Saccharomyces cerevisiae S288C: one gene and its partners. The main gene of each other region encodes a partner of the protein of the gene in region 3 in a complex. Each region holds a gene or a part of one and is shown on either strand. Other genes may lie near its edges. The genes, in order: IMG1, MRPL6, MRPL13 and MRP35.

Region 1 (2,633 bases), on a different chromosome or scaffold from region 3:
ACTAAGTTCTTGGACAGGTTCATGGTCACGCCGCGGAAGGATCCGATGGAGAATTTCTTCTCAATTTTGTTGTCGATGAACTGTCTCCATGACCTGTTGGAATTCGAAGTGAATTGTTGGAATGCTGTGGGATTTTTGAACCTCACCAAATACTCCTCTGCGTATGCGAGGTTGACCAGCAAAGAGATGAGTATGCACTGTGGCTTCATGACCAGTGTTTTTTTGCTGTTTTTCTTGGCGGATGTTAGAGGATGTCTAGCACTTGAGTATACCTCTATATGCTGTGTAAAATAGAAAATAAAAAAGCCAATGAGAACAATATTTTGTGTCGTTTTTTTTATTTTCGCTTCAATTCTCTATACACGTACGTCATCACTACGGGAAACCAAAAAAAAAAAAAAGAAAACAGTACAAAAAGGTTTACTTTACCCATAGTTAGTATACGTAGATTTTATACACGCACTATTTTTCTTATATACAGGAGATGGGTGGCCACAGAACCCGCGCCTAGCCTATTTCTTTCTTCTTAGACCTGCCTCGAGGTCGCCGACATCCAACCTTGTACCTCTGATGTAGTAGTGTTTGTTTCTTTGTCTGCTCGAGACGTGGGGGGTTAGCAAGTCGATTCTCTCGATCAGCGGCGAAAACAATGGCACTCTAATCTCGACGGCCGTCTTGGCTATCTGGTTCCGCAACAGCAACGAGGCGTCTTGCACCAGTTGTTTGCGGTCTATGGAAAGGATGTAGCCAACAAAGGTGTCGTACGAGCACTTGGACGAGTCGTACACAATCCGGACCACGTCGCCTGCCTTCAAGCGGTCCTTGTTCTTTTTACTGATGAGCTTCCTCTTAACGGCCCCGGGATCCAGAGACTCTATTTCTGAGAGGGCCACCTGCTTCATAATCTGCGACGAAGCTATGCGCTGCACAGGTGGGTACACGGGGATGGTTTTTCTCTTGGTGGCGGGGACCATGTAGGACCTTGTCCATGATCCAAGCAATCTGACGTTCCTGCTCCACATCGCTATGGTTCTCTCTCCCTTTCAGCAGCTGCTCAGAGGGAAGACTCGATTCTTCTTCTTCTTCTTTACTGGGAGTTCCAAAGCACCAAAATTGAAAACCAAGAAAAAAAGGAAAATACATCACTACATAAAAGTGCGCGGAGCCATTGACCACTCACATACAGATATAAGTGTATATATACAAGTATACATATACAAGTATACATGTAGAAGGAGACAGAGACAGAGGGAAATGTATAAGTGTGTATTTTTATAGTATACAAAAGAATATGCGTGTGAGGATGTGTGTTTCTTCTAGAACCTGTGTCTTCTTTTCCTCCCGGTGAACTTGGAGTCCTTCGCAACTTTCCTCCCACGTCTTTTCATGAGCTCCTTCTTTCTTAGAATGAAACTCTTGGCAGACTCCTTGTCTTTGCCTCCCTTCAAGCGCTGGCGCAGTTGTTTCTTCAAGTTGACGTTCTCCTCGTCCATGGTCACACCGTCCAAATTCACCTGCTCCTCCCCCTGCGGTGGGGCCCCACTGCTCAACACAAGGTAGTACTTCTTATTCTTTTTAGACTCTGGGTCGTCCACCACAAGCCCGCCACTGAACCCTGCCACCTTGGCAGACTGCAGTATGTCGTCCACCTGGTCGTCGTTTTTCGGGTAGAACTGGGCCACAAATTTCCCTCCCTTCTTCAGTGCAGCATACAATGTGTTGAAAAACCTCATCAACCGCTGTTTAGGATCGTTGTATGAAGTGTCCGCATTGCACAGCCATTGGATCGCACTGATACTAATAGCCGCGTCAAACGAGCCCGCCCGGAACGGTATCCCGGTGCCCATATCCTGCAACATCAAGTCGCCCTCCAGCTCTCTACTAAGACCGGTCGCAAGCATGCTGGGCGATATATCCAAACCACACCACACATGGTCTCCCTCCTGCGTCAAAATCTCCCCAGACAGTCCGGACCCGCACCCGATATCCAGAATGAAACTGCACGGCTGCAGATTCAAAAGCTCCAACGCCCTCAGCGTCATCTTCGCCTGGATATGCTGCACTCTGGTCGAACCCGTGTACTTGTGTGCTTCGCTATCATTATAGAAAATCTCCGGTGGTGCCAACTCCTCAGGACGTGACATTATTTCTTCTCTGATATATTTCCTGTGTTTCCGTACCGCACCTTTTTAGCACTACTTTTTTACTATGCTCTTCTTCTTCTGCTTCTTCTGCTTTTTTCCTCTTTATCACACTATGTATGTGCTGCTCATCTCTTCTTTTTATCGATAAAATTGAAAAATGTGAGATGGTGTAGAGTGAAAAAAAAAAAAAAATCTGGCTTGGCCATCAAATACCCGGCCGTGGTTGGACTCGTTTAGCGAACAATAGCACCCAGCAGACCCTGGCAACATGCGGATGATATAAGAAGGACGAGCGTGGTGGAGGAAAGGGGCGCCATTGGCACACTCACGCAGGTGGTTGTTCAGCACGGCTTGCAGCAAGAGCGCCAAAACAGATTGCAAGAATGACGGAGACTAAGGATTTGTTGCAAGACGAAGAGTTTCTTAAGATCCGCAGACTCAATTCCGCAGAAGCCAACAAACGGCATTCGGTCACGTACGATAACGTGA
Region 2 (2,935 bases), on a different chromosome or scaffold from region 3:
AGAAATTGGAAGGTACAGCATTTCATTTACTCACTTATTTGATCTTTTCTTTTGTTTTCTGGTAAACATCTTTGTTTTAAATGGGCTCTCTACAACAAAACATGAAAAGTACTCAAGAAAAAAAATCTTTATTAGCGTTGGAATCAAAAAATATATAGCATTAGCAGAACGTTAAAGAGGATATTTGGTTTCTAGTCTAAATGGTGTTCCCTTTTCGAAACTGTATAAAATGAAAGGTAAGGTTCGAACTTCTGTGGCCTTACTTATTGCGTTCATATTCCGTGAAACTAGTATATATTAAAGGTTGCAAGCCAAGAGTTTCATTGAACACCAAAATGTTTACCAAGCAAGAACACGTCACCGCATTAATAACCAATATAAATTTCATTTAAGTTATTTTCATAGGATATTTACAAGGTATTCCCTATAAAGTATAAGAAAAGATACATGTCATAAAAAAAATTACGAAAATGAGTACGAAAATAACTGAAATCCTGAAGTTATTTGATTTTCTTGTCCTTTAGCTTTATTGTTTCATCGTTAACGTATATTCCTTTGCCTTTATACGGCTCTGGTGGATGGAATTTTCTCAATTTGGCAGCAAAAAGAAGGACCTGCTGCTTATTGCACCCTTCAATAATCAGAGACGTGGGAGCAGGTGTTTTGACAACAATACCTTCAGGAACGTCCAATCCTTGTTTGATAGATGCACCCACCTTAACGTTGACAAATTTACCATCATTTTCTAATTGAGCTCTATAACCTGTCCCTACAAATCTAAGGACAGCAAGATGCCCCTCAGTAACACCTATAATGTGATTATTTATAAGTGATCTTACTGTACCCCACATCGAACGTTGATGTTTATCTTCTGAATTCTGAACTGTAACATTTATTTTACCGTGCTTTTCATCCTTGTCCAAGTGCAAAAAATCAGGGACCTCCACGGACAATTCACCCTTGGGTCCCTTTACTGTGATATTCTGTGATATATTCATTGAAGTTCTACCTTTTCTGATAATCCTGGGCATGGATAATGCATTTATGGAAACCTGAACTTCAGGAGATATATAAAGTGGTAAAGACCCCACTTGAGAGCGCAGAAAAAGTGTTTGCGACAATAACCTCCTCTGAATAAATGACATAGGTTGGCCTCAATTCCTATAGTAAGATTTGCGATAGCTTTATTGCGTGATCTTCCCTTACTTACTAGTATTTGATATTCTTCCTCTATAACCGTAGCGTCTCCTCGCTATTTCCGCTCGCCTTTCATTACCCTCTACTTCCAGTGAAAAAAATTTCACTGATATAAGCTCATCGCAACAAAAATTCAATGGGATAAGTAATATAGAACGTTCTAAATAGATAAACCACCAGGCATAATCACAACCAATAATGGTTAGAAAACTAAAGCATCATGAGCAAAAGTTATTGAAAAAAGTAGACTTCCTTGAATGGAAGCAGGACCAAGGCCACCGGGACACTCAGGTCATGAGAACATATCATATTCAGAATCGTGAAGATTATCATAAATACAATAGGATATGCGGTGATATTCGTCGTCTTGCCAATAAATTATCATTATTACCTCCCACTGATCCATTTCGTCGCAAACATGAGCAATTATTACTGGACAAGCTATACGCTATGGGTGTCCTGACAACTAAATCAAAGATTTCTGATCTGGAAAATAAAGTTACTGTTAGTGCCATCTGTAGGAGGCGATTACCTGTAATAATGCATAGATTAAAAATGGCGGAAACTATACAAGATGCAGTCAAGTTCATTGAACAAGGGCATGTTCGCGTGGGTCCAAATTTGATCAACGATCCAGCCTACCTCGTAACGAGAAATATGGAGGACTACGTTACTTGGGTGGACAACTCTAAGATCAAGAAAACCTTGTTGAGATACAGAAACCAAATCGACGATTTTGATTTTTCATAAATTGACTACAAACTTACGTTTTCTGTATCAATACTCGATTTATCATCTTCCTACATTGTGAAATTATTACGAATAGGCAACGAGGCAGCAAATACAAATGATGTGAGGCGCCTGAGCTTTCTTAAAAGCTGGAAGCATGAAAAATTGTTATATACACAAAGGAACTTCTTCGTCGTATGCAAAAATAAGAAAAACCGCAAAACAATTTCTCATCGGCGTCATTTGTTAAATATGCCTTAAAACTTAAAAATACACTTCGAAAAAATCCTATTTAACATAAATTAATTTGTATAAATACGCAATTTGTAAAATTTCTCCAATAAAACATCAATTTATATATCCGATAATTGTCCGTTCATTATCTACACTTCAGTTGACGGTATAATTATGTGAAGAGCCTAATTGTTTTCTTAAATCGTCCTGTGAACCACTATGTGGCAAAATTCCACCAACACTTGGTGGCTGTACAACATCTGTCTCTTCTAATATCCCACTAACACGAGAATTATACAGTTGCTGCTGCTGCTGTTGCAGATAGATATTATTTTGTGTGGTCAGACTGTTATTTCTTGAATTGGTTGCGCTTACACTTCTGAAAGAACCTGCTGGCTTATAAGATGGTTTTGCCGTCAAATCCGAAGGATTGGTCATTACCACACTTTGTCTAAGTTGATAAGGTGAAGGAACCGCCCCATTTTCGTTAAACTTCATATATTGGCCTTGCTGCTGTGGAGCATAATAGGCATCGTTTGTCGGTGAATAAAACATTTCCGGATGATCGACCGGATTTAACGCAGTTCCGTTTAGTCTGGCAGTCTGTAATTGAAGAAGTTGTTGCTTGTTTGGTCTTTTAAAAGAGGTCAATGAATGCGAGGAAGCTGATTGAGCTAAATATGCGGGAGTTGGTAATTCTCCAATAGTTTCCAGGGTCTGAGGATGATTATGTTGCTGTTGTTGAGGAGTTGGTACACCGTACCATTGTGGATTT
Region 3 (3,135 bases):
CACAGTAACGCATGACCGACAAAATGCATATTGTTCATCAAAATAACGGGACACGCATTCACTTAAATTTCGTTTCTTCACATGGATCTTGTCAGTAATAAAATCTAGAGAATATTAGTACCTCGGTAAATTTGTTGTACATACGCAACTGGAGAGGAAGGGGGAAATCAGTTGTGAATTGTAACCTGGACATAAGTTAGGATCTGCCACAGTTTTGCTTTGAACCGCTGCGAGAACGCTCCCACCACCACCGGCAAAGAGAACCAGCAGAGCGCTTAGACATTCCAACATTATCAGTATATCTCGTGTGTTCCTGCCTCTTGATGATTTTAGCTAGCTGTAATGTGTAACGAATTATTCCCTTACTGCTTCTTGAGTTAGCCGCCAAAGAGGAAATATAGCCACAAAAAGAACTTACAGAAAAGATAAGGTAAAAAAAAAAAGTGATCTATAATGGGAAAGAAAAATCCAAACTTCTTCAAAGAGTATATATATGTACAGGATATTAAAATGTAATGATAGTAGTAATAATAGTATTAACATAAGCTAAGCGGATCTTGCTGTTTCCAAAGCTTTTCTTGTTGCATCATCCTCTAACTTTTGAATTTCTTTCATAATAGTATCATATTTACTTTTTTGCTCTTTAGAAGTAACATCGTTAACAACATATATGTTTGGTGACGCGTAATTATCAGAAAATGGGTGGATAGCATTTGGCTCAGCTTCTTTATAAGCGAGTTTAGGATCGTTGGCAGATGGCAAAATTTTTTCCTTAATATACCTTTTAAACTGCAAGGGTGTGCTTAAAGTGGTCAGTTCATAATCAGGAATTAGATAGCCAGATTTAGATTGCAAAAATTTGGTGAACTGAAATTTAGCTACCAAATCAGAGAATTGGACGTCCTGGTCTACTTTGCCCAATGTTTTTTCCGTTGCCTGCAATATCATATCATCTAACTGATTATCAGACGTAATCTTATCCCTGGATAACCACTGATTGAATGGCGCAGAGGAGACCGCAAGCTTCAACTCCTTCTGTCTCTTACACCGTCTAGACCCTTCGCCAATAAAATTTTCTGGTATTAGCTCCAATCTGTTTTTGTTATTGGAAGAGGATTGAGAGGAAGCCTCGTTAGTGCCTTCTTCAATATCCTTTATCAACTGTTTGGTGTCCTTGACAGGCTCTTGGTGCTCTTCTTGCTTCTTCCTCTTGAACCATGACATAAAGTCCCCGTTTGCAGCGGAACTGTGAATACATCTGGCTTTCTGCTTGTAGCCAGAGAGCCAGACCGACCTTTGCGGCAATGGTCTAATACAATGTAATTTAAGCAGTGACGACATCCTCATACTATGTCCGCCTTTCCGTCTACCCATTATTCACTTCAGGACTGATGATCAGGCATGCAGTTAATTTGACAGAAGTCGTTGTTTCACTATAAATTTGTCAGCTACCCGCCTCACCAGCAGCGATAAAGAACGAAGAATAAAAGAGAGCATTCACAGAGTACGAATCCAGTATAGCGGTAGTGGATACAACGACAGATTTAAGTCGTAAAAATGGGAGCCGTACTCAGCTGTTGTAGAAACCATTCCGGCGAAGAGAATGAAGCTTTGCTGAGGGAACAGCAGGCAGGCTATGGAAGTCAAGGAAACGCAAATGACGAATACGATGCCGAACAAATGCGGTTGAAGGAACACGAACACGAACAGAAACTGCTGGCCAGGGAACAAGAGTTAAGAGACATTGTTGCAAACACCAACGATAAACTAATAGACATATCGATGATAAACAATAGTGGCATTGTAATTCAAGGGACAGACCTGCAAGAAGCTCTTGATAAAAGACAACAGGAAGAAGGTGGAGATTCCCGGGAAGACGAAAGGAGTGCAGGTGATGACAACCTCAGTGGGCACTCAGTGCCTTCAAGCGGATCCGCACAGGCAACTACTCACCAAACTGCACCAAGGACTAATACGTTTACTCTGCTTACATCACCGGATTCAGCGAAAATATCAAAGGAACAGTTAAAGAAGTTGCACTCTAATATACTAAATGAAATTTTCAGCCAGTCCCAGGTAAACAAACCAGGCCCCTTGACGGTTCCCTTTTAATGAACTTTTTGTATAACATCATTGGTATACAAGCTTTATAAATAAATGTTAAATAGTTAATGAAATAAAAAATCACATTTGACGAATTCGGAAGACAAGTAGCCCAAGAAAAAAAACAACAAAAGCATGCTAGAGGATGATGTTTAAAACGACCCTCAGCCTGTTATTACAATAGAGAGCAAACCAAAGAATAATAGATAAAGTACACAGATATGGTAGTTAAGAAGCGTAAGTTGGCAACTGAGGCCGGTGGCAGTGATGAAAGGCCTAAATACTTGCCGGGAAAACATCCTAAAAACCAAGAGAAAACTCCGCATGTGGATTATAACGCCCCATTAAACCCTAAATCTGAACTTTTTCTAGATGACTGGCATATACCTAAATTTAATCGATTTATTAGTTTCACTTTGGATGTTCTTATCGACAAATACAAAGATATTTTCAAAGATTTCATCAAACTACCAAGTAGGAAGTTTCATCCACAGTATTATTACAAGATCCAGCAGCCAATGTCTATTAATGAAATCAAGTCAAGAGATTATGAATACGAAGATGGTCCAAGTAATTTTCTTTTGGATGTTGAGCTACTGACAAAGAATTGTCAAGCTTACAATGAATATGACAGTTTGATTGTAAAAAACTCCATGCAAGTAGTAATGTTGATTGAATTTGAAGTATTGAAGGCAAAAAATTTGAAAAGAAATTACTTAATTAACAGCGAGGTCAAAGCCAAATTACTGCACTATCTTAATAAGCTAGTTGACGCCACGGAAAAGAAAATCAACCAGGCTCTGCTGGGTGCGTCATCTCCTAAAAACTTAGACGACAAAGTCAAGCTAAGTGAACCGTTTATGGAATTAGTCGATAAAGATGAACTTCCTGAATATTATGAAATAGTGCATAGCCCCATGGCTTTATCGATCGTAAAGCAGAACCTCGAAATTGGTCAGTATTCCAAGATATATGATTTCATCATTGATATGCTTTTAGTTTTTCAGAATGCTCATATATTCAATGATCCAA
Region 4 (2,535 bases), on a different chromosome or scaffold from region 3:
AAAGTTGTCAAAACAATCCCTGATAATAGTTATTGTAAAATGAGGTTAATGACTTTCGACAATGTGCCCTTCGCTATTTCACTGAAAACGAATTATCATTACTTCCCTACTGCAGAATTGAAGAGGGACAACATCACGCACAAATGGATTGAAAAGGAATTTACCGGCAACAGCCAAAGTGAAAAATAGGCCAGATTTGATAAAACATTTATATATGTATGTATGTATGTATACATCAAAGTCTTCCATAAAGAACAGTTTTTTTATAGACTATCACAGGAGCGTTAAGATTTACAAGTTTTTCAATCATTTTGAGGGGTTAGGATTATGATGTCGAGATGGTTGCAAGCGCCTGACGAAATAGTATTTAATTACTTCAACGCTTGAATTCTCTAAGGTATTATCGATTGTATAAATTTATGGTTATTGTTTCATACTTATTTATATACATGAAGACCGAAAGCAAATACTCAAACAATTGATTTGGGGTTAACGGTGCGTTTGGTTTAGAGGAGAACATAATTATTCCACCTTCAATGATAGGGTAATAACCGCTTTAGATGCTTTGAATAAGCTGGATGGGCAATTTTCCTTCCGGTTAAGGCTTTTAATGATCTATGGGACCAGCCTATATTGCCATGTTTTCTTCCAGCTATGCCTCTTTTAAAAGTATTACCGGTACGCCTCCACCTCTTTGCTGTACCTTTATGAGTTTTCATTAAAGTTCTTATTGTTATTGTAGAAACGTTATTGAATAGAAAGCCGTTGAGCTTCACTTTGAAACTATTTGAACCTTTAAGTAGTGGTTTGAGTACATTGAAAACAGACATGTTTTGGTTTTGGTCTCCTCGTTGCCGTTTGTTATGCAAGCTAATTTTCATGATAGATATATATACTATCTTTTTTGTATTTGACCAGATTTTTTTAGGCTCCGCAAATTGGCGAGGGCTTCAAGGTTGAAAAAATTGGTTGTGGTTTATACGCACTGCTAATTATTTACAGAATGAAAGAGAAAAAGAAAAAGATATATATATATATATTAGAACATGCATACGTGTATATTGAAACAAAAATGAAAACAAAAATTTTCAAAGTGAGATGTCAATGTCATTGCTGCTCTTCCTTTGTCATTTAGTCTACTTTGTTACTTAGTTTTTGTCTTCTCCTAAAAGTTTTTAAGTTTATGTTTACTGTTTACATTAAACCCTGTTCGCGTAATTTAGCTAAAGTTTCTTGAATCTTTTTAGCCAATACTGGATCAGACCTAATTCTTTGTTGAACTTTAGCGGCTTCAGCAAAAGTAATGGCTTGTAATTTCTCTTCCATAGTTCTAGCCAAATCAGCGGATTCTTCGAATAATGTAATAGCTTCATCGATATCTTCCTGCTGCAATTTCATTTGAGCTAAACCGATTTTAGCTTGCTCACTTCTTGGGTCTAGTTTGGACGCTTTTTCTAATAAATTCGTGGCTTCAATAAAATTTTCTACTGTTGGATTTCTTGTCAACAAAGTGGCTTTACCGACCAAAGGCGCAATTCCAACATAAATACCATCCAACTTGTTTTCTAATTCAATAGCCAAATCGTACTGCTTCAAAGCCTTGTCAAAATCGTTCTTGTCTGTTAAAATTTCAGCAAAGAAATTTGGAACTTCTGGTGCCTCTGGAAATTTTCTCTTAGCTTCACTAAACAAAGTTTCACAGTCATCAAACTTGTTTTCACGGTACGCTAGACATGCTAATTGAATATAAGGGAAGATATTCTCTGGGTCTAATTCCTTAGCTTTATCAAAATCTTTTCCTGCTTGATCATAGTTTTGTAAAATGAAATTCATTTGGCCGCGGTGATAGTAAACAGAAGAATTGTTTGAGTCCAGTTTCAGCGCTTTATCGAAGTAGTTATAATATTCAGTCGAGTCATTTCTATCAGCCATGATTAATGCCATGTAGATATATGAATTGACTCTTGGGAACAATTCAATAGCTTTCTTGATGTCTTCGTGAGCTCCCAATGGATCGTTTTTCAAGAACTTGAAAATACCTGTGTGTTCTAATGAGATGGCCAATTTTTCCTTTAACTTTTCATCCTCATTGTTCTTGTCCAATTGTTCTTCAAATAACCTTGCAGCTTTCGTGAAAGACTCATCAGCCTTGTCGTAACTTTCGGGAGATCTTTTGTACAAATTACTTAAACCGTTCATTAACTCTTTATCAGCTTCATTGGATTCATCATAATTGGCAAAAGTCAACTCGGGTTTGAAAATACCAAAGAAAGAGGCCATGGATGTAACTGAAGGCAAGTTTTCCTGCTTGTCTTTGCGTTCTTTAGCTGGTTGGGTGGATAATTCAGTTGGAGTAGCAGTAGCGGTGTCAATATCGCCAAACTTTTCTTTCAATTTAGACATAGCTTGCTTATTCAAGTTCCTCTCCAACATTGGTTCAATAGAGGCGTCATTGAAGTCACCATTTAGAGACAATACAGACAAATCGAACATCGCATCCGCAAATTTTCCTAGCCCTTCGTTAGCAGAAGCTCT

What was found.
Region 1: MRPL13 (region 3) and IMG1 share a complex: the UniProt entries of both Saccharomyces cerevisiae proteins name them as parts of the mitochondrial large ribosomal subunit.
Region 2: MRPL13 (region 3) and MRPL6 share a complex: the UniProt entries of both Saccharomyces cerevisiae proteins name them as parts of the mitochondrial large ribosomal subunit.
Region 4: MRPL13 (region 3) and MRP35 share a complex: the UniProt entries of both Saccharomyces cerevisiae proteins name them as parts of the mitochondrial large ribosomal subunit.

Annotation. Positions count from the first base shown.
Region 1 is NC_001135.5:209,402-212,034, forward strand, and holds IMG1 (mitochondrial 54S ribosomal protein bL19m IMG1), read right to left. Parts: upstream 1,023-2,633; coding exon 513-1,022; downstream 1-512. Other genes in the region: RRT12 (Rrt12p), read right to left, coding at 1-209; BUD23 (18S rRNA (guanine1575-N7)-methyltransferase), read right to left, coding at 1,317-2,144; ARE1 (sterol acyltransferase), read left to right, coding at 2,528-2,633. UniProt on the Saccharomyces cerevisiae protein: Component of the mitochondrial ribosome (mitoribosome), a dedicated translation machinery responsible for the synthesis of mitochondrial genome-encoded proteins, including at least some of the essential transmembrane subunits of the mitochondrial respiratory chain.
Region 2 is NC_001140.6:392,139-395,073, forward strand, and holds MRPL6 (mitochondrial 54S ribosomal protein uL6m MRPL6), read right to left. Parts: upstream 1,146-2,935; coding exon 501-1,145; downstream 1-500. Other genes in the region: snoRNA-binding rRNA-processing protein IMP3, read left to right, coding at 1,396-1,947; SKG6 (Skg6p), read right to left, coding at 2,317-2,935. UniProt on the Saccharomyces cerevisiae protein: Component of the mitochondrial ribosome (mitoribosome), a dedicated translation machinery responsible for the synthesis of mitochondrial genome-encoded proteins, including at least some of the essential transmembrane subunits of the mitochondrial respiratory chain.
Region 3 is NC_001143.9:449,877-453,011, forward strand, and holds MRPL13 (mitochondrial 54S ribosomal protein mL50 MRPL13), read right to left. Parts: upstream 1,342-3,135; coding exon 547-1,341; downstream 1-546. Other genes in the region: YKR005C (uncharacterized protein), read right to left, coding at 1-75, 145-291; MEH1 (Meh1p), read left to right, coding at 1,558-2,112; RSC4 (Rsc4p), read left to right, coding at 2,325-3,135. UniProt on the Saccharomyces cerevisiae protein: Component of the mitochondrial ribosome (mitoribosome), a dedicated translation machinery responsible for the synthesis of mitochondrial genome-encoded proteins, including at least some of the essential transmembrane subunits of the mitochondrial respiratory chain.
Region 4 is NC_001146.8:397,490-400,024, forward strand, and holds MRP35 (mitochondrial 54S ribosomal protein bL35m MRP35), read right to left. Parts: upstream 882-2,535; coding exon 534-881; downstream 1-533. Other genes in the region: NMA111 (Nma111p), read left to right, coding at 1-189; protein channel TOM70, read right to left, coding at 1,195-2,535. UniProt on the Saccharomyces cerevisiae protein: Component of the mitochondrial ribosome (mitoribosome), a dedicated translation machinery responsible for the synthesis of mitochondrial genome-encoded proteins, including at least some of the essential transmembrane subunits of the mitochondrial respiratory chain.